Tribolium castaneum: one gene and its partner. The protein of the gene in region 1 purifies or fractionates together with the protein of each later gene. This does not show direct contact. Links are inferred from orthologs where the notes say so. Each region holds a gene or a part of one and is shown in the gene's direction. Other genes may lie near its edges.

Region 1 (3,831 bases):
TTCTTCCACTTTTTTTCAATTGAATTCTCTAATTTTTCACCAGATTTTATTAAAAGATACCGGGCGTATAAGTTGATTCTACAATTTTAAAATTGTTTTTACGTTGTTTGTGACTTTTAGCACGTTTTTGACTAAAAATGGACTTAATTTCTCCAAAAATCACCAAAATAGTGCACGTGCACAAATTCTACTGGATTCGCAGTGGCCATTATTTTTATTAACAATGTTTTTCGGGACTTTAATAAACAAACTCAGTTAACTAAAAATTTTTAGAGAAAAATTAAATATTTTCGTTTAATTTTTTTTATAATTTAAGAAGTAAGTCATCTAAGGATTCAACGCTAAAGTTTGAAGTTATGTTTCACCTTTACGTTCATTTCTTTTTCTCTCAAAACAAAAGGTATTTTCTCTTTATTAAAATGTGCTCTTACGTTTACAATTTGGCACCTCTACGTACTTTTATCTTTTGCCGCATTATTTTCTTATTTCTGTTAGGTTTATGCTCCGCTCTACGTTTCTACTTCTGTGTTTTCTCAATCTCTCTTTAAATAAATTAACATTACAGTCTTTACAATTGCAATAATTCTCCTAAAACGCAAATACATTCAGTTCAAAAGTCGGCGAATTAGCTCGCGAAAACATTTTCTTCCACTTTTTTTCAATTTAATTCTCTAATTTTTCACCAGATTTCATCAAAAGATACTGGGCGTATAAGTTGATTCTACAATTTTAAAATTGTTTTTACGTTGTTTGTGACTTTTAGCACGTTTTTAACTGAAAATGGACATAATTTCTCCAAAAATCACCAAATTTGTGCATTTTCTAGTCAAAAATAGAGCAGAGCACGTGCGCATATCCTACTGGATTCACAGTGCCCATGATTTTCATTAACAATGTTTTTCGGAACTTTACTAAACAAACTCAGTTAACTAAAAATTTTTAGAGATAAATTAAATATTTTCGTTTAATTTTTTTTATAATTTGAGAACTAAGTCATCTAAGGATTCAACGCTAAAGTTTGAAGTTATGTTTCACCTTTACGTTCATTTCTTTTTCTCTCAAAACAAAAGGTGTTTTCTCTTTATTAAAATGTGCTCTTACGTTTACAATTTGGCGCCTTTACGTACTTTTACCTCTTGGCGCATTATTTTCTTATTTCTCTCTGTTTTATGCTCCGCTTTACATTTATACGTCTATGTGTTCTCTCAATCTCTTATTTTTGTTTACGTGTTGTTTCACTTACCTTTTCTACACTTTTTTTCATAGAAAAATTGTTGCCGTGATCCGGGTTCGAACACCCGACCTCCCCCGTCGTAAGTGGCGCTTATACCACTGGGCCACCGGGCCCCAGGTACTGACCTTCTTTTGCAGATATTTTAACACAAACTTTTTAAATAAATCAACATTACCAACTATATAATTGCAATAATTCACCTAAAACACAAATACATTCAGATCGAAAGTCGGCGAATTAGCTCGCGAAAACATTTTCTTCCACTTTTTTTCAATTTAATTCTCTAATTTTTCACCAGATTTCATCAAAAGATACCGGGCATATAAGTTGCTTCTACAATTTTAAAATTGTTTTTATTTTTTTTTTGTGACTTTCAGCACGTTTTTAACTGAAATTGGACATATTTTCTCCAAAAATCACCAAATTTGTGTATTTTCTACATCTCCAAACCATAACAAAATATTAATAGAAAAATACAGATTGGTATGACTTTTCATATTTCCGCAGCCTTTCTTTAAAATTAATTAATATCCCTAACTTTTTTCTATCATTTTTTTTAATGAAACTCTTTATTGAAATTTTTTCCTTCATCTGATTTTTTCCAGATTGTGGCTCGCCGTCACGACCTCAAACTCATCGTCACCTCCGCCACGATGGACTCGAGCAAATTCTCGATGTTTTTCGGCAACGTGCCCACCTTCACAATTCCTGGTCGCACATTCCCTGTGGAAATCCTCTTCAGTAAAAATCCAGTGGAGGATTATGTGGACGCTGCCGTCAAGCAGGCTCTCCAAATCCACCTCCAACCTCCGTCTGGAGATATCCTTATTTTTATGCCCGGTCAGGAGGACATTGAAGTGACGTGTGAAGTCCTGGCTGAGAGACTTGCAGAGATTGAAAATGCTCCAGAATTGTCAATTTTGCCGATTTATTCACAACTACCGTCCGATCTACAAGCGAAAATTTTTCAACGGTCACCGGAAGGGATTAGGAAGTGTGTGGTGGCGACGAATATTGCGGAAACGTCGTTGACTGTCGATGGGATTATTTTTGTCATCGATTCGGGTTATTGCAAGTTGAAGGTTTATAATCCTAGGATTGGTATGGATGCGCTCCAGGTGAGAATAACAAGAAAAAAATATATTTTAGTGACAATAAAAAATTGCACTTTTTGTACTTGATTATTTGGTTCTACTATGAATTTGTAGGGTTTTTCGTGTTTTTTAAATTTTGATTGAAAACTGAAATGAGTCAAAACGAAAAAAACTGATAAACTTTGGTTTTTATTAGCTATTGAATAGTGCAAACTCGAAGTTTCGAATTAATGTTAGTTTTGACCTTACGTTTTATACATTTTTCTGAGCCTCTTTGAATTTATTTTTATTTTTATTGACTTTTTTGGTGAATTTTTGTTCAATTTTAGCGAACTCTGACAAAAAACTTGAGAATTTACCTATAAAAAATAACATTATTTTTGATTGTAATTTGTTTTTTTTTTGCTCATTTTATCGTTTTTTCTGAAAAAAAAGTTTTTTTGCTGAAAAATGAGTTGAATGGAGTGAAACATCTGATTTTTCAGCTACTTTTAGTAAAATTTTTCGGCAAAATATTAGTTTTCCCTAAATGTGTGCTTAGGTACGTGGAAGATATAAAAATAAACTATTTTGCGTTAACAGCTTTGTGACCTTTTTGCTTGTTTTTGTCCAAATTGTACGAAATATTTGCGTTTCTAGCTGGAACTAAAACTCTAAAACGCTTAAAAAAGACAAAACATTCTTTTTCGTTAATTTGGTGATTTATCGGCATGTTTTTAGTAAACTTTGACAAAAAACTTTAGTTTAAAAACGTGTCAAAACTTTAAAAAATATACGAAATAGACAAATGCAATTTACTTTTGGTCAAATTTGGTGAGCTTTTGTCTTACTTTTGACAAAATTTTAGAAATAAATGCGTTTCTGTGGGAAGAACAAGCTATAACGCTTGAAAAAAATCAAATATCGATTTATTCGGTGAATCTTTGGTCAAAATATTACCAAATAACATTAATTTCAATGTGACTTGATGTTCTTTCAGTTAGTTTTAGCAAAATTTTTGATAAAACTTTCGAAAAACGCAAAAAATACAATTTTTGACTAAATTTTGAGAATTGTTGGCATGTTTTGTCAACATTTAAAGAAATAATTGTGTTTCTAGTTGAAATGTATACTAAAACGCTATAAGTTTGACGATTTGTTGGTCTGATTTAACGAAATTTGCCAAAAAATTGAAAATGTAGTTTAAAAACTTGCCTAAAGTTGTAAAAAGATGAAAAATAACATCACTTATAACTAGATTTTCTGGCGAACTTTTGTTCTACTAAAATGAACTAAATCGAGTGAAACTTCAATGACTCAAATGATATGATAGAATAAAATGTTGGACTTAATGCATACAGTTTATTAAAAAATGTATTCAAAATATGTACATTGAATTAATTATATATTCATATTTGACTGAACAAAAATGTAATTTAGTTTTCAATGTTTGAGACGACGACGAAAATGGAGCACCTAAAGACGACTCTGAAGACTTTAGTGACTTCTATGTCTCCTCCTTTC
Region 2 (3,931 bases), about 2.6 Mb from region 1:
GAATTAAAAGCTTTTGTATGAGAGTGAAAAAACTTATACAAACTGCGAAGAGCACATTAAATGTAGATTTGTCGATTATCGAAGATGTAACGTAATAAGTTTATTTTTTCGACAGCAGAATTAACAAAAAAACAAACTTCATTGCTATTGAACAACTTTACCCATTAAGAAACTTCACTTTGCGGTTAAAAAACTAAATGAATAATTATTTTCAGTAGAATAAAGCACACAGACATCTGCTATAGAAAAAAATACATTATGAGCTAGGATTATGAGTTATTATTGTTACCAACGCACCCCATTCGACTCAAACGACATAGAAAAAAACACTCACCATCTAGAAACAACCACCATCACATTGGTTACATTCAAAATTTGTAATAAATGTAAAACACGCCCTCCGGCGTGCGTTTCACCATCGTCATCGCAGTCTTGGAGAATGGTTCCCTGAGAAGTCAAAATTCTATAAGCTGAGATGTTATGAGTTGCTTGAGCAATTTTTTTATTATCAAGTAAAAAATTCATAAATTCTCTATAACAAAAAATTAAATAGAATATCATTCAGTAATTTGGACATGTAAAATACCTTGTCTCTTCTAATGAGTGAACCCGAGCCATGTGACCCTGAAAAACACTTTTTCTGTCTTGTATAATATCCCCATGTATCACTTGTAAAAAAGTTTCCTTCCTGACTTGTTTCTCTTCAACTTCGCCATTTAAAACTTCTGGCTGTGGAGCACTTAAAACTTCTGAACACTCGTCCACAATTTCCTTTAACTTTTCAATCCACTGAAACAGAATAGGGCTTCCCTGGCTACTTCTAAGAAATCATAGTTCAAAAATAATTGTAAGAAGCATAAACACTTCTTGTTCATACTCGTAAATGTTACCAAATTCATCGGAAATTAGCTGCTTCTGCTCTGACGTTAATGTAGGAGCCAATAACTCAAAACTTGGGGGCTTGCTTGACGGATAATCATCATTCAAAGTTATGAATAATTTAACGTTGGGATTAATTTGAATGCTATAACAATTCGTGTCCGTCTCCAGCCGCCAGTTATCATCGTAAATAGATTTCAAAGCTTCAAGTTCCTCACACTGTTCCGCTAAATTATCCATTTTTTTGGAAAACACATTTTAGTTTTGAGGTTATGTTTACACATTTCTGTCATACGTCAGTCATACTTTGACAGTGCGAATTGAGGTTATGATTTTTATTCCAACAATTGTCTTGTAATAATAAATTCAGTGCCACACAGTATTTAATTACACAAGATGCAGTCTCACCCGAAATTAATGGAATTGCGTCCTGATCGATCATTACTGAACTCTGATTTTGACGGTTATAAGTTGTCTTTGGCCGAGATCCCCACAATTAGCGAGCAGTTAAAAGTACCAGTGGACAGATTAGTGCCTGATGTAAATCAGTATTCGTTGCTCCATGCAAAACTCTTTGCTCTTCACAATCATTTGATTAGCGAAAATGATAATGAATCAGTTTATTTTGTTGATAAAGAGTTGAACGTTCAAAAATTTAGCATTGAATCATTGACACACACATTCTGTAAAACAACCGTGTGGACGCTACCTTTACAGAGAGAAAGGAGCTTTGGGGATTACAATATTTCCCTGAAATTTGCCTCAAGTCAGATTGCCGTTGTAGCAGATGGAATGGGCTATCTTTACGTATTAGACAGGGGCTGCAGAGACATTGACGATAAATGGAAGATACTCTTTTCTGGGGACGTGACAGGTCCTGATCAGAAGTTTGTTGTAACTGATGTGGTTTTTAAAGAGGCCCCAAAACCACATTTGCATTTATTACTAACCAGTATAAGACAGAGGGAAGCGAATGAGAGAAATTCAACAATTTTGCACTGGATAACTTTGGAAAAAAGCGATTCGTGGAACCAAGTGGCTTTGAGGGAACTAACAGTTAAAGGCTTCGTCCAGTACGCAAATTTCGAACGCACTTGTGACGCAGTTTACGTAATCAGCGATGATGGTTGCAAATTCACCCTGGATTCGGAAAATGAAATCAAAAAAGCCGAAGAAATTCAAGTTGAAAAGAAATACAAGTGGAGCCAAACCAGTGAAGATTTGACCATTAAATTTCCACTTCCTGAAAATTTTAAGAAAAATTTAGTCCACGTAACCACCGAACCAACCCACATCTCGGTCAAATACGAAAATGAGACTCTCCTAACCGGCAAATTGTATCACCAAATAGACCCTGATGTGACCTGTTGGACCATTGAGTCAAGCACTCTCGTCCTAACTTTACAAAAGTGTGAATCCGGCCTTATGTGGCCAGAAATCGTCGAAGGTGGCTACGTTTTTGGCGAATATTTGCCAGATCCGGCTTTAGTTAGCGAAATTGCGGCGAGATTGGCCCCACTTACGAGCGATACCGAGATGGGGCCGCCCACAGGGACCACTTTCAACAGCCAACAAGTGGAAGAGTGTGACTTTGAGTGCGATAAATTGACTGTGTTTGAACGAATTTCGCGCGATTCGCATGAGGTCACCCATAAAATCAACTTGGGGTCACATCAAGTCCTGCTAAGTGTTGGGTTGGAAGAGAACCAGCCGTTGGCTGTAGGGATCCGAAGTGATGTTGATACGTGTATCTGGCAGCCGACTAATGAAAATGAGTTTCGATTGGTTCATAAGGGTACTTTGCTAGCGCTGGGTTATATTCAGGTGAGTTAAGATATATGGAGGACTAAAACTAAGTGGCGAAACGAATTTGAAAATCACCCAATTTAACCGACTCGGCTCCAAATTGATTAAGTTAATTTAAATTTATGACTTGCTCAAAAATACTTGTTTAAAAAAATTGCAGGAATGTTGGCTTTTAGTTTTTAATCAGCTGTACAAAACTCACGGCTATTATTTTCAAAAGTAATTTTTTTTATCGAGCATTTCACAAAATTTACATATTTAATGTAAAATTGTAAAGCGTGGTAAATACAAACAAACTCTACAATTTAACAAATACAGATTTACTAATCGATATTCCTAATTACAAAAAATGTTTTTTTAAGGTAGCTAAACGTCGTCAGATTTAAATTGGCAAAACCAGCATATTTTCATTAAATACGTTAACTTAATAATTTAGTAGTGCATTGATGACCTTTTGTTTTTCTCAATCACTTTAAGCTTAAAAGTATCTTCAAAATCAAACTAGAGCAAGAAATCAAGAAATGTTTTTATTAATTTTAGTAAAATATATGAGGCATTTGAGAACACTTTTGAAAAGTAAATTCTTTTAATAAATAGATGTATTTTATTTAATTTTTAGTGTTTCGACTGATACGTGTATAAGTTTTTTAAGGCAAATTTTTACTAAACAACAGGGAAGTTTTATAAGGTGTTAAATAAATTGGTACTTGACCAAATCGCACATAAGAATTAAATACATTTTAATAACATATAGTATAAAAAAAATCACACATAATACGTATACGTGTATAAGTAACTTAACTAAGTTACTAATTAGTAATTTAAAATGTTGTGAAGTAAATATGGTCTCTTAAATTGTCTATAAAGCTCTGCTTTAATTCTAAAGAGAAAATTATAATACAATTTAATTTTTTGAGATATCATAAACTTCTAACGAAAAGCACAATTGATCGAACAGTGATTTTAGAATATGGATTGTAATTTAGTTTTTTATTTTAACCTTTTCATGAACGTTATTCACTTTCGGTCTTTCTTTTATACAGAGTCAGTTTAAAGTAACACATAAAATTCGTAATTCTTTTAATTTTAAAAAATAAGACAATGCAAAAACAGGTAAGTTAGCATTTTAATTGAGCTTAAATTTGACCTGACTGCATCAGTCATGGCGGACAATATGGCGGCACCATGACGTCATCACAGAATTTTTAAATGGAACGGTATAATTTTTCTTATAAAATCAGAAGCT

What was found.
Region 2: the proteins of Prp16 (region 1) and nudC domain-containing protein 1 purify together in Homo sapiens (co-immunoprecipitation; 3 studies listed by BioGRID and IntAct, with this or other methods). This does not show direct contact. The link is inferred for Tribolium castaneum from reciprocal best matches to the Homo sapiens genes DHX38 and NUDCD1.

What each region holds. Positions count from the first base shown.
Region 1 is NC_087394.1:24,689,412-24,693,242, forward strand, and holds part of Prp16 (pre-mRNA-splicing factor ATP-dependent RNA helicase PRP16), read left to right. Parts: intron 1-1,839; coding exon 1,840-2,352; intron 2,353-3,831. UniProt on the Homo sapiens protein: Probable ATP-binding RNA helicase. Involved in pre-mRNA splicing as component of the spliceosome.
Region 2 is NC_087394.1:22,049,229-22,053,159, forward strand, and holds the start of nudC domain-containing protein 1, read left to right. Parts: upstream 1-1,275; coding exon 1,276-2,703; intron 2,704-3,931. Other genes in the region: protein IMPACT-B, read right to left, coding at 335-532, 587-820, 878-1,119.